Linked DNA regions of Cricetulus griseus. The protein of the gene in region 4 purifies or fractionates together with the protein of the main gene of each other region. This does not show direct contact. Links are inferred from orthologs where the notes say so. Each region holds a gene or a part of one and is shown on either strand. Other genes may lie near its edges.

Region 1 (6,152 bases), on a different chromosome or scaffold from region 4:
CTGACCTTAACCTATAGATAGACTCTTGGTTCCTGAAAGAGTAGCCTTGCTGATGTTAGGACCACACATATAGCATAGTTGCTGGAAGTGTGTCCTGCTCTCTGCAGTTACTTGGTCCTTAGGATATATTCATCGGAGGACTTGAAGTATTGTAATTGTCTTTTTGCAGTTGTATTACCAGTTTGATGTGCAGCTATGTTAATGTTTTAGTTAATTCAGATTTGGAAATTGAAGAATATGTGTTTTTGTCAGGCATGGCAACACATGTGTCTGTACCATCTCAGCACCTGTGCTGAAGGCAGTCTGGGCTCACATAGTAAAATATTCTCTCAAAATATATTTTTAAAACTGTTACGTTCATGGCATTTGGAGGTCAGAGGACAACTGCAAGAGTTGGTTCTTCCCTCCACCATGTGGGTCTTACAGATCAAACTCAGGTTGTTAGGATTGGTGGCAGGTGCCTTTCTTTACCTTAAACATAATAACTCCCCAAAATAAAATGACTTTTTTGTTTGTGCTGTGGTGCTGGAAGACTGAACCAGGATTTCATACATGCTAGCTAGGCATTTTATCAGACTTTTCATTATGCAAAAGACTTGTGTGTTCTAAAAGTAGAAACCATATTAAAGTCTTCTCAGGGATGTTGTGCTTCTTTGCATGTTCTGTGTTCTGTTAATGGATATTGGATTTTTCTCTGGCTGCTGTCACAAACACTGACACCCACATACCCTGTTCCTCACAGCTCTCATGTTGGTGAAGGCCATCTCTTGGTTCATAGCCAGTGCCTTTGCACTGTGTCCTTGTGAGTAGGAGCTCTCTGGAGTCTCTCTTGTGAGTGCACTCATTCCACACAGGCTTTGCCCTCAGCTGTGGTCACCACCCTAATGCCCCATCTCTCAGCCCTACTGATTGTCACTGTGAGGTGAGGATTTCAAATAATTGGCTTTAAAGAGGGATTGACACTTTAGTCATGATACTCTTCCCCCTGTTCCCCAACAGGAGACCATTTGTAGAAATAAAGGAACTTATTTCTTTGTTGTTTATGCAGAAAGTGGCGTAGTTTCTGTACCCTGCCTCTCTCTTGCCAGTATAGTACAGAAGTCATCAGCACAGGGTCTCTCTTAGTCTTTTGGGGCATCAAGGTTGATTTCATCTTTGCTACTTTTGCAGTTGGCATCTCAGTGAGTTCGCCTGCCTATGGGTCTTGCTCCTTTTTGCAGAGGAAGGTTACATAGTCAGTAGAACCTCATTAGAATCCCACTTGATTCTTTATTACTTCCTTTCCTTTGCCCATACTTTACACTCCTCTGTAGTGATTGTATTCTGAAATGTTGCTGTTTTATGCTGTATAGAAAGAAGAACATAAGCATTTCCTGTAATGCCTTCCCCCATGTAGCATTTGGTTTGTCTCAGGCTAGACTTCTTAATCTTTACTTATTTATTTTTAAAGATTTTATGTACACAGTCACAGTGTCTGCACACCAGAACAGGGCACTAGATCTCATTATAGATGGTTGTGAGCCACTATGTGGTTGCTGGGAATTGAACTCAGGACCTCTAGAGGAACAGTCAGTGCTCTTAACCTTTGAGCCATCTCTTCAGCCCCTATTTATTTTGAGACAGGATCTCACTATGTAGCTCTGGTTGTCCTGTTTAGGACAATCGCTATTTAGGACAATTGACTATTTAGATCAGGCTGGCCTCAAACTCAATGGTCTCTCTCTGCTTCCTGGGTGTGTGCCACCATGCCTGGCTCATTTTTATTATTAGGGGGTGGGCATTCAAGATAGTGTTACTCTGTGTAGCTCTAGCTGTGCTGGAACTCAGTAAACCAGGCTGGCCTTGAACTCAGAGATATGACTGCCTTTGCATTGGTAGAATCAAAGGCATGCACCACCATACCTGGTACTCATTTGTATGCTTAAATGTTAACTGTTCCCCCTGCCCCTCAAAGTGGGCATGTTTTCTGATTTTTTTTTTAAAAGCCTAGTTTCAGATTTAGGCTCTGCTATTGATGTACAGTTCTGGTCTCTATCCAATTGTCTGTTTCTTACAGTCAGCTTGATCTTCTTTCAATATGGGCCAGGTCAGCCAGAGGTTTCAGTGTGTAGACTGGCTCCCACCCCAGAATCCCAAGGATTCTTTGCCTGTGGACTCTCCATCTCTTAGTACCTTTAGCATGTGTACTGCCTGCTTTTAGGGTTGTTTTCTTTAGAGGCTTGCATTATATAGCTTCCTAGGCAATCACCACATTGCAGAGTCACAGGAGTCTTCCATTATTGTCTTTATGGCAGATATAGGACATAGGTTGCTCTGTCTTTGATCTGGTTGTTTGTCCCTATCCACCACTCTATTTCCTGCAGGTCCTGAAGTTACAAAGTGAAGGTTGTCAGATACCCATCTCAGACCCAGGCATTCCCATTACTGGTTTGTGTTTCGACCTTTGCCTGAATTCTGAGTGTGTTCATAGGGCAAGCCCAGGTTGTCTGGAGCAGGCTCTTGTTTGGGCCTTTTCTTCACAGAGTTATCCCAGCATACCTGGCTTTCCTCCCTAACTCTCCTCGCTAATATTCTGTGGCTATGTAACAGTATTACCCAAGCACCACAACTTAGGATGGCCTGTAACCACAGTTCTGGATGTCCAGTGTGGCCAGTCCCAGACCTGCCCATTTCATCCTGGGCAGCTCCTTGGAATTATGTACAACAGTTTCCAGGTCTTTTCTGCATGTCAGGCATGCCCTCTGCAGCAAAGACCTCCTTTGCCATGAAGTAGGCATCATACCACATCAGTTTCTCAGACATAGGAGCTCTGTGAGACAATTGTTTAAACGGCTCAAGAGTTAGCACAGCACACTCAGCGTGTCTTGATCCCACAGTCCCTGTCTGCTGGGAAACAACCACAGAATCTGGGCAGAGCTGTGGGACAGGGACACTTAGAAACCTGTACTCCTCTGTGTAGCTACACCTCTGTGTCCCTGGTTAGCATGGTGCTCCTACCTCTGATACTACAGGATTTAGTGTAGCACGACCTATGGCAGAAGTCTGCTTTGCTGAGCCTGAGTTGTCACTGGACCACAGAAGCAAGTTCTTCAGTCCCAGCAGAGCCACGACTAAGCTCCAGATTTTCACGACTACAGTGCTGGTTTCTAGGGTAAGGACATGTCCTGGATTGCTTACTGGCTGCAACATATCATGGACTCTCACTTTCTCCCCCAAAGGATGGAGAGGTATACTGCATTGATGCTCGGTTCTATGGGAATGTTAGCCGGTTCATAAACCACCACTGCGAGCCCAACCTTGTGCCTGTGCGCGTGTTCATGTCACACCAGGACCTGCGGTTTCCCAGGATCGCCTTCTTCAGTACTCGCCTGATCCAGGCTGGGGAGCAGCTGGGGTAAGTACAGACCCAGGCACAGTGTGACCCTGGCTGGGTGGGTAGGGTTGCTGCATTCCTAGCCATGCATGTGCTTCAAACATGAAGGGTTCTGGGCCTCGATGGGTTAGCTTGGGGCACTTGGATATCCTACCAACCCCTGTGTGCAACACACAGAAGTACTGAGTTCTACTTCCTCAGGTTCGACTACGGGGAACGCTTTTGGGACGTCAAGGGCAAGCTTTTCAGTTGCCGGTGTGGGTCTCCCAAGTGTCGGCACTCAAGCGCAGCCCTGGCCCAGCGGCAAGCCAGTGCAGCCCAGGAGGCTCATGAGAATGGCCTTCCAGATACCAGCTCTGCAGCTGCTGCCGACCCTCTATGAATTGCCGGTGGGGCCGGCGGGACCTTCCAAATCATATTTTGGTGACTGCAATTTAGAGAGGAAAATCTGCACAAGATGTCCAAGAGGAGCTGGAGGTGTGGACACCTCCCAGGGAATGTTCTGGTCCTGAGGCGTTTCAGCTGGCCCAGTGCTCAGGCCAGAGCACTCCTCTGGCCTGCACCTCGAGACCTGACTCCATGTTGTATAACTTGTGAGTTCCTGGTGGTGGCTCTGTCGCTGCAGTGCTTCCCATTTCTCCTGGTCTCTGAGGCCCTCGCTCCACTGCCAGGTTTGTTTCGTATACTGTCTGATCAGGCTACTATAAGGCACTCACCAAGGCCACCGTCACCTACAAGCTGCTCCGTTAGACCTGCTGCCCACAGCCTGTGTTGCTGGCACCAACTCCCAGGTGCCATCCGAGGACACTAGCTCCCTTACAGCCGTGGAGAGGTTGGCCGACCCACCACTCACTTTGATGAAATGTGGGTTCGCTTTTTAAAGAAATCCTATATCTAGCCCTATATATCAAGCCTCTTACTGGTGTTTCTTTGCGAGGAAGCAGGTTGGTGATGCAGGCAGACCCTGCACCAGCCCCAGCCAGTTCCGTTGACGCAGGCACCTTTTGTTGATTTTTAAGCCACATGCTATGATGATGAATAAACTTGTTTGTTTTCTACCATTACCGAACATTAGGACAAACAAAGAATAAAAACACAAAACACAGACAACGGTGCTGAATCTGGTGTGGTTTCTACTCACCACGTGAAAATAAACTATCAACTGTAAAAAGAGAACAAAATGATTTTAGAATAAAGTGCAGGAAAACTTTTTTAAAATGTTAGTCTTGTAGTTGAATAAATTTGCCGTCACCTTTTGTGTGATGGCCTGGCAGGTCATGTACTTTTTTTTGGCATATACCTTTCTAAATACTGTAATTAGTGCAGCGACAGTGGGGGTTTTTTTTGTGTGTGTGACTCTTCTAAAACATTCATAATGCAGTCATGTTTATTTTTTTCTGTTAAAATGTTTTTTGACAGTTTTAAGAGCAGTCTTTTGGCTCAGACCATTTCTTGTTCTGTTTTCAATGAAATCAATAAAAAAGTACTTTAAATGGAGTTTTCATTATGATACATTCTTTCTCCTTACCTCTGCAAATCCCTAGCCCTTCTACACTGGGTACTATACTCAGGGTTTCTGGAGGTCTGCCAGGCCCATAGTCACACACAAGGCTGGAGGGCTGCATGTGTGTTCATGTGTTTGGTGTCCAGTGTCCAAGTTTGAAAGCCATTCTGACTGCTGTTGGAGCAGGTGAGTCCTTATATGTGACAGTTTTCATCAGGGCACAGCGAGGGTGGAGGAGGCAAAGCTGGAGCTCTTTCCTCCCTGCTGACAAGTGATGCCTTCCCTAGGGAGCCCAGATACCAGTGCCTTTTTGTGCTCCATGGTAGTCTGGCATTGTTCACTATGGGAGAGCTTGTAAACTCAATGAAAAATTGATCAAAGGCTCTATCTTTGAGTGTGTGGAGCTCATTCAGTCAGGCCTTTTCTCAAAGGGAGACAACTGTTTCAGCTGTATAAATGATCCAGTAGGGTGCCTGGGCCCACATGCTGTACAGCCTGTGGCCCTTGCATCACTACTGGCAACAGCTGTGGGATTGCTATGGGCAGATGGGATAGTGGTAGATCCCAGGAAAGGCCAGTTTCACTTCTCCCAAAAGAACTTGGGTCTTCGCCCTTAACTGCTCTGAGGAAGAGTTGTGCTATGAAGAAGCCCCCTCCTCAGTCTCCTTTGCCTGTTTCTATGCAAATACTACACCTACATACCACATCTGTCAGGGAAGAGGTGTCCATGTTGCTAAAATTCAATCTCTGTGGTGTTGGGTGTGCTTCATGCAGCATTTACTCAATACCTAAACTTTTGCTGGTGAACATGGACCTGTTTCCAAGGTCCCACTCATAGAAACTATGCAGCAAAGAAAACTTCTGGACATTGCCTTTTTTACTTGTCATGTTCTTGAATAAGGGTATCTTAGTTAGGGTTTCTGTTACTGTGAAGAGACACTGTGACCATGGCAACTCTGACAAGGGAAAGCATTTCTTTGGAGCTGGCCTACAGGTTCAGAGGTTTAGTGCATTATCATTTGGAGAAACATGGCAAAATTCAGACTTGGTGCTGAAGAAGTAGCTGAGAGTTCTACATCTGGATCGGCAGACAGCCAGAAGAGAGAGTGACACCAGGCCTGGCTGGAGCATTGGAAACCTCAAAGCACACTGCACAGTGACACACTTCCTCCAACAAGGCCACACCTCCCAATCCTTTCAAATAGTGCCATTTCCTATGAGCCTATGGGGCCATTTTCATTCAAACCATCACAAGGGGATAAGGACGTATGCGTT
Region 2 (6,152 bases), on a different chromosome or scaffold from region 4:
AAACTCCTAATTCCCCTGCCACCACCTCCCAAAATGTGGAATTACAGGCCTGTGCCACCACACCTGGCACATATGCTCCATTCTTTGTATCTCATTCTGGATAATTGATTGTTCGTTTCTAAGATTCTAGCCAATTTTGTTTTACTGGTATATTTACAGCGCCATCTGCCGACACAAGTTGGTAATTTTAAGGCTTTGGGCACTTTCTCCATTCAAGGTATTCTGAACACTTTATAGTATGCTACCCAAGAGTGTTTAGGGAACCTGGATATAGCTCTGGCCTGTCAGAGGTGTGGTGGTACACACCTTTAATCCCAACACTGGAGAGGCAGATATCTGTGAGTTTGAGGCTAGCCTCGTCTACAGAGTGAGTTCCAGGACAGCCAAGGCTACACAGAGAAGGGGGCGGGGGCTAGAACATCAGAACTGAATGGATTAAAAGGTAAGAGGTTTACAGGGAACTAAAGTTTATATGCTAGAATATTTCAGGGACTTTCTGATTTAGGGTATTGTGTAGACAAAGATAAACCTTGAACCCCTTGATTCTCCTGCTAGGATCACAAGCATTCGTGCGCCACCATGCCCGGTTTTTAGGGGTCAAATGCAAGGCTTCATTTGTGTGAGACAAGCTCTCCACCAACTGACCTGTATCCCCAGCCGTATTTGGGGTTTTCATCAAACAAAACCAACTTCCAACATGAAAGAACAAGTTTCACCCATATATAATTCTATGTGTGGATGTGTGTTGGAGCATTTTTTAGACTTGTGTGGTTATTGCTTTTAATTATTTCGTGTGCATTGGTGTTTTGCCTGCATGTATGTCTGTGTGAGAGTGTCCGATCCTAAGGAACTGGAGTTATGGTTGAGAGCTGCCATGTGGGTGCTGAGAATTGAACCCAGGTCCTCTAGAAGAGCAGCCAGTGCTCCCAACTGCTGAGCCATCTCTCCATTCAGAAGCATGTTTTAGAAAAGAATAAACTCAGGACCTGCACTTGGCCTTGAGTACTAAAGTCAGGTGGCCTTGAGTTTATGTGGAACCCATAGGAAGGTGGAAGGAGAGAACTAGCTGCACAAAGTTGTCCTGCCCAAAAGAAGACAAACTTTACTACATCTCTGATGGCTACCTTCCTCTTTTCCCCCTGCTCATTTTCTAAGTTATTACAGTACTCCAGCTTAAATAGTTAATCTGGTGCTTCTTCTAAGCAGTCTTGAGGCTTAGAAATAAAGTAAACTAAGTCAAATAATAGTGATTTATGGGCAAGGGCTGTAGCATAGTACCTAGCATTCTTGAAACCCAAGGTTTAATTCCTAGTACTACCAAAGGGAAAAATGGGAGTTGGCTGGAGTTGTAGCACAGTTGGTAGAGTAGTCTCTTGCCTTGTATATTATACAAAGCCCTGTGTTCAGTCTTTTAGCACTACTGGGGGGAAGAGACAAGAGGGTCAGAAGATCAAGTTCATCCTCTGCTACATCATGTGAGGTAGCTTAGCCAAGCCCGAGACCCACATGGAGCTGACTCCCACAAATTGTCCCGTGACCTCCGTGACACCCAAACTTAGACTACATGAGTAAATGCAGTAAAAGAATTTTTAAAGTTTGAGCTGTGAATTTATGATGTCATTCAAGAAAAGCAAAGTGAAAAATAAAGGGACTTTTTAGCTGGACATGGTAGCATACATCTATGATCCCATTACTTAAAAGATAGAGACCAGATCAGGGATTCAAAGCCATCCTGAGCTATATGAGACTGTGAAGGCTGGGCGGTGGTGGTGGCACATGCCTTTACTCCCAGCACTCGGGAGACAGAGGCAGGAAGATCTCTGTGAGTTCGACCCACACATTGTAGTATCACCTATAATTCCATCACATAGAAAGCTGAGGACAGGACTGGAGAGATGGCTCAGAGGTTAAGAGCACTGGCTGCTCTTCCAGAGGTCCTGAGTTCAATTCCCAGCAACCACATAGGTCACAACCATCTGTAGAGATCTGGTGCCCTTTTCGGGCCTGCAGACATACATGCAGACAGAACACTGCATGCACAACAAATAAGTAAATAAATAAATAAATAAATAAATAAATCTTTAAAAAAAAAAAAGGAAAGAAAGCTGAGGACACCTTGGGCTTCTTAATAAGTCCTTGTCCAAAGGGAAAGAAATTTGCTGTGAGATTAATAATCATGGCTAGGGGTTAGAAAGATGGATCTGCAGTTAAGAGCATTGACTGCCCTTCCAGAGGACCCAGCATCCACATGGTAGCTCACAACTGTCTGTAACTCCAGTTTCTGGGGACTTGACACCCATGGCAAAACACCAATGCACATTTTTAAAAATGAATTAAAATAATAATTGTGCTTTTAAAAAAATAATCGTGCCGAGTGGAGGCAGCAGCATGGGCCTTTAATCCCAGCACTCAGGAGACAGAGGAGGCGGATCTCTGTGAGTTCAAGACCAGCCTGGTCTACAAGAGCTAGTTCCAGGACAACCTCCATAGCCACAGGGAAACCCTGTCTCAACCCCCCCCCCCAAAAAAAAAAAAATATAGCTAACTTGCTAGCTAACGTGGAAACGTGGTTGTGAACTGGAGATAAGTAGAGCATTATACATAAGCAGTGTACATCATCTGTGATTTCCCTTACCATCCAGATATTTATCTGACCAGTAAATGTGCCTTGATGCCCTTTTTATTTTCTTTTGTCATTTTAGCAGCGTCACTCTTTACACCGGAAAGCTGGCGGGTACTATGGGGAAAAAACAGAACAAGAAGAAAGTGGAGGAGGTTCTAGAAGAAGAGGAAGAGGAATATGTGGTGGAAAAAGTTCTTGATCGACGAGTTGTCAAGGGCAAAGTGGAATATCTTCTAAAGTGGAAGGGTTTCTCAGAGTAAGTTTCATTGGCACAGGTAAATTCAGTCCTTATGCTTGATACCTGTTCTGTGATGGGTATACCTGGGGTCAGTCCTGACCTCCACAGCTGATAGTCTACTGAGGAAGGACCTACATGCAGAATACTGCGATATATGGCAGCATTTTGTTTTGTGTATGTGGCATGTGTGGCCTTAAGTCCTGGGATGAAAGTCAGGTCTTCAGGCTTGCCAGATGTCTCCTTTTTCCCATTGAGCTATCTCACCAGTCCACAACAGTGATTTCTGAGGAGCAATTTGTATAAGATAGTCCACCTCTGCAAAGTAGTTTTTCCTTGAAGAAGACAAGTTTCTAAGCCTTTGGTCTTTACCATCCCCTGCTAGGAAACTTCTTAATTTTGAACAAAAATCTAGCTGTTCCTTATCATTTAACTCTCTTCCAAGACTACCTCCTCTCTTAGTTACAAATGTTGACTTGAGTGGAAGTGTAACTTGCTGTGATTGCTGGTTTCAGTGAGGACAATACATGGGAGCCAGAAGAGAACCTGGATTGCCCTGACCTTATTGCTGAGTTTCTACAATCACAGAAAACAGCCCATGAGACAGATAAATCAGAGGGAGGCAAGCGCAAAGCCGATTCTGATTCTGATGATAAGGGAGAGGAAAGCAAACCAAAGAAGAAGAAAGAAGAGGTGAGAAACTTAGGACAAGGATTTAAGTATTGGGCTTACAATTATGAGCTACGATACTTGAACTTCTTCCTCTGAATCTCAGCAGTTATGTCCTCTGTCCTTCGGAAATAAACTAATGTTTTTAAAAGATTTGGAAGTCAACCATGTGCACACCTGTAATCCTAGCAGAAGGATCAGGTATAAGAGACCTTGACTACAGGAGACCTTGTCTCATTGAAACATAACAAAACCAAAAAAAAAAAAAAAAAAAAAGGATTTGGGACTTATTCCTGTAAAGTGATCTAATCTTTTTATCTATGGTGCAAGAATGATGGGATAGCCGGGTGTTGGTGGCACATGCCTTTAGTCCCAGCACTTGGGAAGCAGAGGCAGGGGGATCTCTGTGAGTTCCAGGACAGCCAGGACTGTTACACAGAGAAACACTGTCTTGAAAATCCAAAAAAAAAAAAGCACTGACTAGCTGCTCTACCAGAGGTCCTGAGTTCCATTCCCAGCAACCACATGGTGGCTCTGTAATGAGATCTGATGCCCTCTTCTGGCATAAAGGATGTAACAGTTACTGGAGACACATGACAGCAACTGAATTTGTTTCCTGTCAGTAGATTGCTGTCAATAGATTGCTTTTAGTTTTTTGTTTGTTTGTTTGTTTTTTAGATTTATTAAGTATACAGTGTTCTGCCAGCATGTGTGCCTGCAGGCCAGAAGAGGCACCAAATCTTATTACAGATGGTTGTGAGCCACCATGTGGTTGCTGAGAATTGAACTCAGGACCTCTGGAAGAGCAGTCAGTGCTCTTAACCTCTGAGCCATCTCTCCAGCCCACTTTCAGTGTTTTGATCATTACAGATTTGAAGTAGCTGTTTTGTCTTACTTAGTATCTTAATTAATTTACCTTTGAAGAGACAGCATGAACATTTCTTTTGCTTGGGGTGTGTGTCCCATTCATGCCAGGGGTACCTCATGGTGTGGGAAGCAGAGGAAACCTTTAGTGAATGTTTGTGATTACATTTCTTAGAAACACAGCAATAACTTCATTCTGGATATAGTCCTATGCCAATAAAATTGTTCTGTCCTTCTGGTTTTTACAGTCAGAAAAGCCACGAGGCTTTGCCAGGGGTTTGGAGCCTGAACGGATTATTGGAGCTACTGACTCCAGTGGAGAACTCATGTTCCTGATGAAATGGTGAGTCTGCCAGTGGCTCTGTGTGGTTGTTTCTTCCCTTCTCCATCTGTTCTATGCCAGAGGAAAAGAGCTGCACCTTCGAAATTCCAGTCGCCAGGTGTGAATCTTTAAGATGACATAGTCCTTCGATAGTGATCCTCGGCATGACTACAAACCTGGACTCATGAGTTACAGGTAGGGGCCCTTAGGATTTTCAGATCTCTGATTTTTTTTTTTTTTTTTTTTTCTTTTTCTTTTGGTAGGTGGGAGAGACTATGGAGAGGAATCACATTTCAGTTCTGTTGAGTAAAGAAAAAAATTCTGAGATGTGATTGGATTGAATTTCCCTCCTTCTCTGCCACCTTCTTAGTAAAGATCAGGCCGGCCCCAAAAACAGGATTCTGTTCATGTTTGAGGGTAGGAAAGAATTTATAGAATTTATTTTTAAATTTCAAAATTAGCCAGCAGGGGTCAGCAAGGCCTCTACTGTTTACTGTTACTGAGCATAATGTAAGCTTGCCTCTTTCTATTAAAAATACTAGTGGTAACAATGTAGACTTGTTCTAAATAGAAACAGTGGGTGGTGTTTGTTAGCACTAGGCAGCATCACCTGCTGAACATGCTTGTACTTGCTGTATTTTTGTGTGCTGCCAGCACAGTAGGTTTCTATGACTGGCATGCACCACGGCATCACTCGGTAATGGCCAGATAATGTTCTGGCCAGAACATTATCAAGCAGTACATGGCAGTACTTTCAAACAGTTTAATGAAGAGTTCAAGTTAGTAAAAGTAATTATCTTTGTTTTTTTATTGTTTTGAGACAGTTTTACTCTAGCCTAGGCTTGCCTTGAACTTGAAATCCTCCTGCCCCAGACTCTGTGCTGAGATTACAGGGACATGCCACCATGATGGACTAGGAAGAGTAAGTGTTAAGCCATTGCCAGTTAAAATAGGATTGTCAAGTCTTTGTCCTTTGATTGGTCTAGAAATTTCTCTGAAACTAGTATCTATGGTAGTTCTTCCCTAGATAATGGCTGGAGTAAGTTCAATGCAGGTGAATGCCTGTGTCACAATGAACTAACCACCTATTTTCTTCTGTGTGTTCCTCCAGTCTTTATTGATTCGGACCCTCTTCTAACTTACAGGAGAAAAGAAAAACTGAATAAATAGTAGTATGTGTTAAGTAGTCTAGTTAGGATACACTTGTTCTGTATATCACTAGTGTGAGTTACAGTAGTATCTCCGTATTTTGAAGGGTTGCATTCTTGGTTAGGTATGGTTTTGCACACTTAGAATCCCAGCACTCATATAAAATGAAAGTATCACAAGTTAGAAGCAAACACACACACACAAGCCATTTGTAATAGCCCATATCTGTAATTGCAGCACTAGAGGTTACTGGGAATATAGAGTAAGACTTTGCCTTAAATAACAAAACA
Region 3 (6,152 bases), on a different chromosome or scaffold from region 4:
TAGTACAATTAAGTCATCATCCACAGATCCCAACAGGAGGTTTAATAAACAAACATTTCAAACTTCAGAAGAGGAAAAAAAAGTATAGATGTAGAGATTCCATAGATAGTGTATTCTAGGAAAGGGGGCCAATTCTATAAATAGCCTCTTATTCTGTTAAATACTAAAATTAACCACGTGACACACAGGCCATATATGACTGCAATAGCTGTGCTTACAACACAATGAAATTATGAACATGGCTACTTTTAAAATGTAACTTATTATTTAAGTGTAATACTTTGCCCTCAGCATTAGAATCCAAGTTAGGCTTTCTCCAAGAGTGAATTTATCTCAAGCAACATTATAGTTTGTTTCTCCTCTGAAATTCTTAAGTGTGTATTAGTATAATTGTTTTGGCCTGAACACTATTATTTTCCTTACAATAAATTATCTTGTTTCAAAGTTGTTTGTAAGCAAAATAGGGGAGATGGCTCAGCAGCTTGCTGTAAGACAGTTCACAATTCCTGTAATTTCATTTCAGAGGGATTTGATGCCTCAGGACTCCCCAGCCACTTTTACTCACATGTACATATCCACCCTCCCATATTACATATAATGAAAAATGTGCATCTTAAAAGGGGAGCGAATGAAAACATGGAAAGACCTATGATTATTCAAAAAATAATAGTTTTGGGAGAAACTCAGAAAATTAGCGTTTTCTTAAGTCCCTTTGTTTCTACTCATAAATGTCACTTCACTTTATATGTGACGAGATGAACTTTACATAACAGATCTTTAAGAGATAGAATGATGGAAAACATTAGGTAAATTCCCCCTTGGAGAATATTCTATCACCTAGGAATTTTGCTTAAATGGAAAGGTTTCCATATTCACATTTTCTTACAGCTGAATGTTGTCCCAGTCTACAGCTATGACATCATGGTCCTTCAATTTGGTGCTGAATGAAACACCCTTATTCTGCTTCATACATATTGCTGTTGCTGTACATGTATTTAAAAGTATACAAGCTGGTATTTGCATTGCTGGGAATCTTGATTTGCCCAGATCTTCTATTTTACAAATGGAGAAAAATAAGAAATCAGATCTTTAGATGCTAACTGCTTTCTATGAAGTTTAGTGCCCAGGCTGGACTTTTCACTTTGGATCTTTCACCTCACATCAGATTTCAAAGCTTTTTTGTCTCCTATGTCTTCATGTTGTTATGAAGGGTTACAATTAGGTTATGCATGCATCTTAAAAATTCTTGAACCTTGATTTGAGCTGTCATTTAAATACCAGATAATATATTGGAATAGAATAAAGTTACTTTAAAATTTAGCGTACTTGCCTCTCTATTCAATATGCTTACAAGAAAGAGAATCAAAATGCTAGCTGATCGTGGGGAGACACTGATCTTTATTGGTCAACTCTTTCTAAAGCTGAGATGATGATGGAGTAGATTTGGAAAAGACCTTTCACACAAAAGAAGCATGGGGGCATGTGAAACTCTAACTCTTTCTCCATTGTGATTCATGTAGTCTGTGTCATGAGCAGAACATTTCAGACCTTTATTAGCCTTTGCATTTTCTCTGCCAGGCTCTTGAATGTGCTTTACTTAGTATAACATGGTTGTGCTAAGCGCACAAGATTTCTCTCTGCACTGTGCCTTTGAGATAAAAGTATTGCAGGGAAAGCCATTATTCCATAAGCATTTTTTCTATGATGACAACAAAATGGAATAACCCTTGTCACAGTGGATTTCACTCCTTTTTATTACTATTATCAGCCAGAAATGTTAAAGAACATTATGATGCAGAAGTTGTCCCTTCCAATCAAGGACTCTCGAGTTGACTCATTGATACCATGCCAAAGTAACTAGTTCGACAGATTTTAATTTCCACTGACCTGACTAGATTTCTGACATCACAACGGAAGCAGGAAGGGCCGAATACTTGGATTTGGATGAATGGGGTGACTTCTAATGTAGAGCACTTGAGCTAAAATCTGTATTGAGACTCAGGGCAGGAGAAGGACCCATCACGCATGGAAGTACAACTGAAGGATTTTCTGGCTTTGAAGTTGAACAGTTTTACCTAGAAGCAATTCAGAAAAGTCAGGTTATTTTCTTTTAACATATCATGTACACACACACACACACACACACACACACACACACACACACACACCTCAAAAATATGATAGTCTCCTTCAAGTGCTGTGAAATAACTCCATTAATTACAAAACCACTCCCATTCTCAGAAAAGAGCTGGGGTAGCCTGGTCTCCAAGTTTTACATTTTCATTTTATGAATAAAGGAAAAATTTTAGATAACTTAGGGTTTTTAATTGTATCAAATCAGAAACACTTACCTAATGCACAATGAGCCATTTCTAAGGAAACTGACCTTCAGAGTTGCAGTCAGCTTTTTAATAGACATCAGAATGAAAAACTGGGGGAAGTTGAGAGCAGGCAGTTAGTGAAGACCTTTGTTTTCTTCCATGAGGACTTAATAGTGTCAGAACTTGCTTTTGTAACAGTTTGATTATTAAGTGAGACTCTGGGATTCCCAGTCACTATAGGTTAAGAAAAAACCACTCTCTTCAGCACCAAACACATTTTTTTACATTGCCTCAGTTTTTAAAAATTGGAGTATTTTGTACCACTAAGGAAAAAATGATGGAATTTTCTTTATAGTTGCCATCAGGAGAGGTAAATGTGCTAAGAAATTGGTTAGACTTTTAATATACACTTGCAAATATTCAATTGTGTTGTATTAAGCAGAATGTAAGACAATGCTATCACTTTGTGATATATTTAGTTTTAGTGAGATTTATTTAAAGCATTGGAACTCAGTATTCTAATAAATTAGAGAGCGGTGAAACCACCCCCAAACAAAACGAAACAAAACTACTGGAATTGCAGTATTCCTATACGAATAGTGTTTTCCTATGTGAAGTGTTATTTTAATGTTCAGGTCCACAAGTCTTAGGAAATATCTTCTAATGTGTTTGTGATACTGTGTCTGTATTTACTTTCCAGATGCAAATACTGTGATAGATCATTCAGCATTTCCTCCAATCTGCAGCGACATGTCCGCAACATCCACAACAAGGAGAAACCATTTAAGTGTCACTTATGTGATAGATGTTTTGGTCAACAAACCAATCTTGACAGACACCTAAAGAAACATGAGAATGGAAACATGTCTGGTGGGTCCTCAGTGGTGCTATGGGGGGAAAAATGGCTTGTGTTTTGTATTTTGGCATATAATCGTGCTCTTTCGTCTTCCATCCCATTTCAACACTAAAATCTGATAGTACTCTGGAAGTTCATACCACATCTCCCTTGAGTTTGAGAACCATGTGAATGAGGCAATCACTAATGAATGAGAATGTGAGACTCTGTGGTCTTGTTTAGGTTAGATTTCCATCCAGCTGGATTTATCTCAACAGGCAATCTCAAGCAGAGACAGCCATGACCTAGACTGCACAGATATGAGTCAGAATTTCCTAAATTGCAAAGAATTCTCTTTCCATCTATTCACAGAATATGTATTCTAAGAGTGGCAAATCCCTGACTATTAACCTAGAAATCATGGTCTCAGGTATAACTTTATATAAGACTAGGGATTGGAAGTGAACATGATCAGAGCAGCTTACAAAGGATGCACAGATCTTGTGGTTCCATCCCTAAATGTTATCTAATAAAATCAAATAGATGACAACCTCATCCCAGTCCCCAGACTTCCTTGATGGCAAACCTGACAACATGTACTTAATAGAAGGGATTCTATATCTTTTCTTTGCTTTTGAAAGTTCGACGACCAACCAAGAACTGAATTTGTCTGCTGGGGTATATGTACAGAGATAACCTGTACAATTAGGATGATGGTGGGCAAGTACTGAGTTCAAGGAAGGGGACTTCAGAGAAGGAAAAGGAAACAGATCTGGAAAGCCAAATCATTTTTCTTGAATAAATTACTTTGTTGATCCTTTTTTTGGCTGTAAGCAGCATTGTGTGTGATCTTGAATGGTAACATGTACACTATTCATCTTCCTCAATCCCAAAAATCCAATCCTGGTTTTTAAGTGTTGGATTTTAAGCCTAGAAGTTTAGTCCAATGATGAAAGCATAGAAAATATTCTATGTGCCAAATATCCTATATTATGTAATCAATATTATTTCAGAAAAATAGAAAGTTAGAAAATACATCTAGTTGGGGGTCCAAGAATATAGTTCAGTGGTAGAGCAGTTACTTGGCATGTACTGGTTTTTGAATTTGATTCCCAATATCGGGAAAAATAAATTTGTCAAAGTTGAATGCTTATTTTTAACCAGATAATTTCATTAAGATGGGAAAGTACTAGCTCCATGTTTTTGCTATATGGATGGTAATAATGAACTATTAAATTGTAGATATATTGTGGGAATACCTAAGTAGTATAAAGCCTGTGTTTACATAAGATGTGGCAATATATTAAGTACTTACAATGGTGTGAATTTATGTAAACCAATATAGCAGTTCTATGACACAGGTATCATGACTTTAATTTGCAAGGAAGCTGAAGACCATCTTATAGAAGGCAGATCCTTTATTGGCCTCTTCATGCTAAACCAGCCTCTGGGTTGTTTCTGAGTCTGCTCACAACCCCTTGTAACAAATGAAGGTATAAAATGCTAGGTGTGAGTCCGTAAATAAGATTTCTATAATTTCTTACCCTGTCTTCTTATATGAATGAAAATACTCCCATGCTCCAGAAAGATAAGAACAAGCAGGTTGAAAGAAATGACAACCTTGATAGTCTGTGATTCTTGGTCTTGGTGTCCAGACTCATGAGCTTGCACTACAATTTGGAGTTGCTTGTATTCCCATTGCAAAGGGCAAGTTTTGAGACATAGCACTCCTCTGGTTTATAAGGAAGGAAGTGATAAGGAATGAACAATGATCTTCTCACAAAGGCTTTCTTTCCCACCCAGGTACAGCAACATCTTCACCTCATTCAGAACTAGAAAGCACAGGTGCAATCCTGGATGACAAAGAAGATGCTTACTTCACAGAGATCCGGAATTTCATTGGAAATAGCAACCATGGTAGTCAGTCTCCTCGGAACATGGATGAGAGGTACAGCAGCTCTTGCACACATTTCTGCACTCATGTGCTGGTACTATTGCTGATGCTGGTGATTGGAGTTTATTTGAATGCATAGCTAACAGTTATGTAATATGTTACATGTACTAGTTAACAAGTTACTATTTTTCTTCATCATATGTGCATTGTGTAAATCTGTGTATGTTTACATGTGTATTGGTACCCATGCACTTGTGTGTAGAAGCTATGGAAGCCTGAGGTTGAAGTCAAGCACCTTCCCCAATCATTCTTCTACCTTATTCTTTGAAGCAAGCTCCCTCAGTCATATTGATATTCAGAGATATTGCTAGTTTTGATAGCCAGCTTGCTCCCAGCATCCTTTGTCTTTCTTGTGAGGATGGAATTATTGGTGGACCACCATGTCCACCCAGCATTTATGTGGGTTTTGGGGACCCTGTCTTCTTGCTTGGGCAGCAAGTGCTTTAAGTGCTGAGCCATCTCTTCAGCTCCATATTACTTAATTTAATTTTCACAATGACCTCATGAAAGTGACTGCAACTTTATCAGAAAAGAATGGTGATATCAAAGGTTAATAACTTGCCAGAAGCCATGTAAATAATTGATGAGATGTAACCTGGCCTATTTGTTTTGCAGCCCATTTTACTACCAGGCAGTTCTGCTTACCTTGGCAGCTAAATCAAAATTTCAAAAGCCAGAAGGAAATTCACCAGAAGGATTCATTATTGGTTATTACTATATTTAATATGCTATTAATAGATAACTCATGACACAATGTGTGTCTCCATCTTGTCTTTCTCTCTATCTCTTTACATATCAGTATCACTTTGTATATGAAGTAACATTGATTAGTTCAATATGTTTGCACAAAAGCTGTTTGAGAACTTTTCAATTCAGAGCCAATTATTCCTCTTGAACTCTCAAACAGGCAGAGGTGTTGGCTTTAGTGGACATGTCTGTCTATCTATCTATCTACGTATGTTCTGAAATTTATTGATGAAGTTTCTATGATTTTAATGTGTCACTGTCTTTAGTTTCTTTTGCATGTAAAAGCCAAGACTAA
Region 4 (6,152 bases):
CTAAGTGATTGAAGACCAGGCTTCAGAGTTAACACCTCTGTTTGGTACCCTGGGGATTTTCATCCTCCCCCCACACACCTTTAGGGCATGCACCCTATGGAGCTAGGAAGCTGTTGTCTTTCTTTTGCAAAGTGGATAGAGAGGTGATTAGGTCTTGAACTTGAAGCAAGTCTGCAGGCAGTTTAAGTTCTGGGAGTGTTTAGATCCCTTTACATGCAGTCCATGCCACAAGATCCATTTACAGCCTTGCTGTTCCAGGGTTAGGGGGCAGGCTTTGGATTAGAAGATTGGATGGGTCCTCTCTCATAGGAGAACTGGACTCTTTGGTGTCAGGGAAAGAAGGGTGTGGTGACTGCATTGTGGGCAGGCTCCTCTCCAGGAGTTTCCCTGGGTATTAGGCTTCAAGGAATTGACATGGTCCTGTTGTAGAGGGTCTTAGCTTTGGTTAAGGCCTGATTAAATTTTGTGTGATTCCTAGGCCTTCTCATTCCAGGCTGCAGAGTATGTTGCAAATCATCCTGGAATCAGCTTCAGGATCTGTGCCGACTGGCCAAGCTTTCTTGTCCCGCCCTTGGCGTTTCTAAGAAGAATCTTTATGACTTTGAAGTCGAGTACCTGTGTGATTATAAGAAGATCCGTGTAAGTCTGGTGGGGATGTGTGAGACTGCCCTGGCAGGGGACCCTCTTCCCCACCCAACCCCCACATCTCTTTACAAAGAGGATTTTCACCTGGGGTAAAATGGGATGAATTGACTGTCTTATTTCCATTTTACAGGCAAGGAAATCAAGTAGCTTTCTCAGAAATATAGGCAGAATGAATCCTCAAAGAATGTCTTTTCCACTTGTACTTGCGGGATACAAAGATTGAGATTCTGAACCTAGGAGTGAAAGTAAAGATGACAATACTTAGTATGCACACTAGAAACTTTTTAAACTCTGATAATGCAAGATGATACAGTAACTGTTAACTGCCAGAAAAGGTTATGCGGTATTAGAGCCCACTGAAAGCAACTTGGTTAGTTGAAATGTAGTCTTCATTTTCCCTGTCTGTAAAATGGGGAGGACTGGAGTTGTAAGAATTCTAGGGTGTGTCAGTTGCTCAGGAAAATACCTGCTACATAGCGAGTGCTACAAAAAAATATTAACTGTTTTTCCTTTTCTCTTTTTCTTTATTTTTAGACAGGGTTTTGCTATGTTGTAAAGACTGTTCCTAAACGCAGAATCCTTCTGCCTCAGTTTACTGATGGCATTATAGATATGTGTATATTTTATGTATATAATCCTCCTCCCACTTATATATTTTCTTCTTTACAGATGAGGTAACAGACATGGCATGCTTTATTTGCCTAAGGCAACATAGCCAGGAAGCTACAGATTGCCATTTTAAACTCTGTCCTATGGCTGACTCCCAGCAATTAAAGCTCCCCCTCCCCTGGCACTGTGCAGAAAACTGAAACAGTGAGGGTAAAAACAGGGGGATCAGTAGAGGCACCTACCAGAGGACTGACTGGCTGCAGTGGCAATGTTTTAATGCAGTAAAGGGGTCAGATTCTGAGTGTATTTATTGGGGAGTGTGAGCAAAAGAGGAACCAAGAATAACTACAGGGTTTTGGGCCTGAACAGATCATTGGAATATAGAGGAGGAAGTGGTCTTGGGGGGTTGAAAAGTAGGAATTTCAACAGATAATAAGAGGGTGAGTGGAAGTTGGATTTAGTAATTTTTACTCCAGAGGCACTGCATGGAACCATTCTAGAGTAGTGTGGGGTGGGGTGAATGTTCTCTGTTGCCACAAGGGTCTCAAATTTATGGTACCCTTCTGTCCCTGTCCTCTTAACAGGAGCAAGAGTACTACCTGGTTAAGTGGCGTGGATATCCCGACTCAGAAAACACTTGGGAGCCACGGCAGAATCTCAAGTGTGTGCGCATTCTCAAGCAGTTCCACAAGGACTTAGAAAGAGAGCTTCTCCGGCGGCACCGCCGGTCAAAGCCACCCAGGCATCTGGACCCAAACTTAGCTAACTACCTGGTGCAGAAGGCCAAGCAGAGGCGGGCACTGCAGCGCTGGGAGCAAGAGCTCAATGCCAAGCGCAGCCACCTGGGACGCATCACTGTGGAGAATGAGGTAGACCTGGATGGCCCTCCACGGTCCTTTGTCTATATCAATGAGTATCGTGTTGGTGAGGGCATCACCCTCAACCAGGTGGCTGTTGGCTGTGAGTGCCAGGACTGTCTGTTGGCACCCACTGGAGGCTGTTGCCCTGGAGCATCCCTGCACAAGTTTGCCTACAATGACCAAGGCCAAGTGCGGCTGAAAGCTGGTCAGCCCATCTACGAGTGTAACTCCCGATGTTGCTGTGGCTATGATTGCCCTAACCGTGTAGTCCAGAAAGGCATCCGCTACGACCTCTGCATCTTCCGTACTAATGATGGGCGAGGCTGGGGTGTCCGCACGCTGGAAAAGATCCGCAAAAATAGCTTTGTTATGGAGTATGTGGGAGAGGTGAGGAGATGGGTCTGGGTATGTGTGCAGCTTTTCCCACTATGTGTTTGTAGTGTTTGTGCCTAAACCATGTTCCTAAAACTCTGTTTTCCTTGTGAGAAAAGTCTAAGGTGTTGGTCTGAGTGTCATAGGAACATCATAGCAGGGGTCAGCAATTTTACTTGATACATCAGCAGGACCATGCTGGTAGTTAAAAGAACACTGAAGTACTTCTCACCTCAACTGGCTTCATGAGGGCATACAGCAAAGAAAGTGGGACCCGAGCTTCAGGTGGCAAACCTTTCCAAAGCTATGCGGTCTGGGCATAGGGTTGCATCACCTGAAAAGGCAAGTTCTCTCCTCATTTTGAGATAGGGTCATTGTATCACAAACAGTAAATCTAAAGTAGCATGTAGGCTCAACTTGGATGGAGGTTTGGCAAGATCCTCTAGACCAGTGGTTCTCAACCTGTGGGTTGCAACCCCTGGGGTTTTCACAGGGGTCACCTAAGATCATCAGAAAACAGATATTTATATTACAATTCATTTACATTACAATTCATAACAGTGGCAAAATGACAAGTAGCAATGAAAATAATTTTATGGTTGGGGGGTCACCACAGCATGAGGAATGGTATTAAAAGGTAGCAGTAGTACAAAGGTTGAGAAGCACTGAACTAGATTTTTAGGTTACCCTGGGGAAAAGCTGGATGGCACATGATGCAGGCTAGCTTTTTTAAAATCAATAATCCCCAGATCTTTGTAACTTAACACATTAGGAGTTAGTATACATTGTTTTTAGGCAGAATCTCCCTCTGTAGCATAGGTTGGCTTTGAGCTCACAGTCCTCCAGTGCTAGGATTACAAGCATGTGCCACCATGCCTTGTCTAGGTTTACCTGGTTTGTAAACACCCTAGTATATGTGTTTTGGTGGATCTCCTGTTCACATACTGACTTCTGCCCCTAGGATTTTATCCCCCTTTTGTGCCTTTCTTGTACCTTAGGGCCTTCAGGTCACTGTCACATCCTCAACATTTTTTTTTGGTTTTTTTTTTTGGTTTTTTTTTTGAGACAGGGTTTCTCTGTGTAGCTTTGGAGGCTGTCCTGGAACTCACTTTGTAGACCAGGCTGGCCTCGAACTCACAGAGATCCACCTGCCTCTGCCTCCAGAGTGCTGGGATTAAAGGTGTGTGTCACCAACGCCTGGCTGCCCAGCATGTTCTTTGTGTAGACAAATCTCACTGTTTGAGAGATTTAGCTTCCCTGGATCTTGATTGTTTAAATGTGTGTTTTGTCATGATATAGTCTATGTATTTTCATAGATTCCCTCTAGATGTTATTTGCTTGGAAAGTGACAGTAACTGGCCAGAGGGCACATCAGAGGATGTCCACTTGTAGCAGCAACACTGGTGACTAGGAGAGGCTTCTGCTCTTTTTTTCTCTTTTGGTTTTTTGAGACAGGGTTTCTCTGTGTATTTCAGGCTGGCCTCAACCTAGCCTGGCTCTGCCTCCCGAGTGCTGGGATTAAAGGTACTCCACCACTACCCTGCGAGCTTCCACTCTTATGACCTGAAGGAAGCTTGAGCTTGCCACACTCCAGAAGTGTCTTCACCTCAGAGTGATTTGGATAGTTTGGAATATAGACATCTTTCTAGAAGATCCCAATCAGGAAGCTAGTCAGTATAATTCTATTGCCCAAGGTAGAAGAAAAGCCCTCTATACACACAGGATCTTATAGGAAGCAGCACCTATACCCCACAGGAAGGCTCAATCTTTTGAATGTAGTGTTCTTGCCCCTTCACTATGGAAGTAGCAGGGCTTCCAGGAGTCCTCTCATCTCTTCCTTACCTTTCCCTCTGTCATCCATTCTTTCCATATTGTTTCTTGACCACTGTCTTGCCATGGTCTACCTGCTTAGATCCAGGCATTCTAGTACCCTCAGACCTGTGAATCCTTCTGATGGTGTTGGTCCCTCAAAGATTGCGAGGCAGTAAGTATAGTAGAGCCGATAGAAGCTGATCCTTGCCAGCCTGCCCGAGGTTGATCCCAGCCCTACCACTCAGCAGCAGTCACTTCATGTCCCTCTTGGTTTCCTAACCTGGAAAAGAGGAAAGGTTTTGGTAGTTCCTCCGTGTGAAGCACTTGGAAGAAGCACTTCAACAGTACTTGTTAGTGCTTTAGTCTAAAACTCAGACAATCCAAATTGCTCAAAAAGTAAAGGATGTTATTTTGCTTTTAATAACCTAATCTAATGTACTGTTTTTGTTCTGGGGTTGAATATTCATATATTTAATCAGAGAAATATTAATTTACTTAATTATGGGACTGTCTAGATGCTCCTGAGGTGTTATTATTGTAGCCCCACCCCCATAGAATGCAGGGCCTCCCTTATGCTAGGTAGTACTTTGCCATTGAGCCACATCCTAACCTGCAAGGTGCTATGTAATTAATTCAAAGTATCATTCTCAATCTTGGATGCCAATCTTTCAGGCCACTGACAGTTTGTAACAATAGCTCCTGCTCCTTTGGACCTTTCCTTGTTTGTTCCAGATTTTCATGTTTCCACAGATTATTTCTAGCCTCATCAGGCAGAGAATACATGCATTCTCTGTATTTTACCATCTCTGGAATGGAGGTGAGTTTTAATTGGTTAAATGGTAGTAATGAGCACATAAAGAAAGGGTGAACCTTAGATTTCAACAAGGTAATGGTACTCAACCAGTCATTACAAAACATTTCTTCACACACATGCACTTTTGTTTGTTTGGGTTTTTTTTCTTGGTTTGGTTTTTCGAGACAGGGTTTTTCTGTGTAGCTTTGTGGACCAGGCTGGCCTCCCGCCTGCCTCTGCCTCCCGAGTGCTGGGATTAAAGGTGTGTACCACCACTACTGAGCCTGCACTTGTGATTTTACAACAGCCCCTAAATTGAGACTTTGCTGCTGATGTTCCCAGTATATAGATGAGAAAATAGAGGCCCAGAGGTGTCATGCAAGAACTTAGGTCAGGTTACAAAGCTAGTAAAGTGAAGTAGGTAGGAAGCGCCTATTTAAACCTGGTGCTTTGACAGGCCTACTTGTTTTTTTTTTTTTTCTTCTCAAAAAACAGGCTCAGAGAAATAACACGGGGGGGGGGGGGGTTGCGTAACCACTGACTCAAGTTTCTTATTTCTCATCCACATCAGGAGCCTTTTTAAGGTGCCAACTCCTAGGCTGTCTTTTCCCTGACAGTTTGGAGAGCTACTAGAGAAGAGGGATGAGTTTTCAGGGTGGGACATCACAGAAAGGGAGGGGAAGAAGAGAGGACCGTTGAGGCCTGGAGGGTATGACTCATCTTGGTGAGACTGGGGCAGCAGGTAGGAGCAGATCAGACAAGGTGGAGGGGGGGGAGGATGTGGGCATTCCTTCTGGTTTGAAAGACTCCAATTAGAAAGATGGCTCAGAGAAGAGCAAGTCTGCTGGTGAGTTGGAATGACTGCCTTAGTTCCTAGCCTTTAATGAGAGATAGCTGGTGTCTGAGGGTCTGGAAAGCCAGAGGTTCCAAGTGGTCACATGTTGATACCATAAGGTTGTCAGGGAGCTAGGAGGCCTACCTCAGCATACTTCACTTTAATGAATGTGTCTGTTACTATATCCTTCAGGAGAGAAGCCTCAATGCTTATGGTGGTGATGCCC

Evidence for each region. The genes of interacting proteins can lie anywhere in the genome.
Region 1: the proteins of Suv39h1 (region 4) and Ehmt1 purify together in Homo sapiens (co-immunoprecipitation; 3 studies listed by BioGRID and IntAct, with this or other methods). This does not show direct contact. The link is inferred for Cricetulus griseus from reciprocal best matches to the Homo sapiens genes SUV39H1 and EHMT1.
Region 2: the proteins of Suv39h1 (region 4) and Cbx1 purify together in Homo sapiens (affinity purification with mass spectrometry; 3 studies listed by BioGRID and IntAct, with this or other methods). This does not show direct contact. The link is inferred for Cricetulus griseus from reciprocal best matches to the Homo sapiens genes SUV39H1 and CBX1.
Region 3: the proteins of Suv39h1 (region 4) and Mecom purify together in Homo sapiens (affinity purification with western blotting; 3 studies listed by BioGRID). This does not show direct contact. The link is inferred for Cricetulus griseus from reciprocal best matches to the Homo sapiens genes SUV39H1 and MECOM.

Annotation. Positions count from the first base shown.
Region 1 is NC_048599.1:136,126,663-136,132,814, reverse strand, and holds the end of Ehmt1 (histone-lysine N-methyltransferase EHMT1), read left to right. Parts: intron 1-3,218; coding exon 3,219-3,394; intron 3,395-3,574; coding exon 3,575-3,755; 3' UTR 3,756-4,870; downstream 4,871-6,152. UniProt on the Homo sapiens protein: Histone methyltransferase that specifically mono- and dimethylates 'Lys-9' of histone H3 (H3K9me1 and H3K9me2, respectively) in euchromatin.
Region 2 is NC_048600.1:109,950,009-109,956,160, forward strand, and holds part of Cbx1 (chromobox protein homolog 1), read left to right. Parts: intron 1-2,702; 5' UTR 2,703-2,739; coding exon 2,740-2,879; intron 2,880-3,373; coding exon 3,374-3,551; intron 3,552-4,639; coding exon 4,640-4,734; intron 4,735-6,152. UniProt on the Homo sapiens protein: Component of heterochromatin. Recognizes and binds histone H3 tails methylated at 'Lys-9', leading to epigenetic repression. Interaction with lamin B receptor (LBR) can contribute to the association of the heterochromatin with the inner nuclear membrane.
Region 3 is NW_023276806.1:118,567,091-118,573,242, reverse strand, and holds part of Mecom (histone-lysine N-methyltransferase MECOM), read left to right. Parts: intron 1-3,021; coding exon 3,022-3,191; intron 3,192-4,959; coding exon 4,960-5,104; intron 5,105-6,152.
Region 4 is NC_048604.1:114,534,152-114,540,303, reverse strand, and holds part of Suv39h1 (histone-lysine N-methyltransferase SUV39H1), read left to right. Parts: exon of another isoform or gene 1-478; coding exon 479-639; intron 640-729; exon of another isoform or gene 730-878; intron 879-1,838; coding exon 1,839-2,501; intron 2,502-2,718; exon of another isoform or gene 2,719-5,575; intron 5,576-6,152. UniProt on the Homo sapiens protein: Histone methyltransferase that specifically trimethylates 'Lys-9' of histone H3 using monomethylated H3 'Lys-9' as substrate. Also weakly methylates histone H1 (in vitro).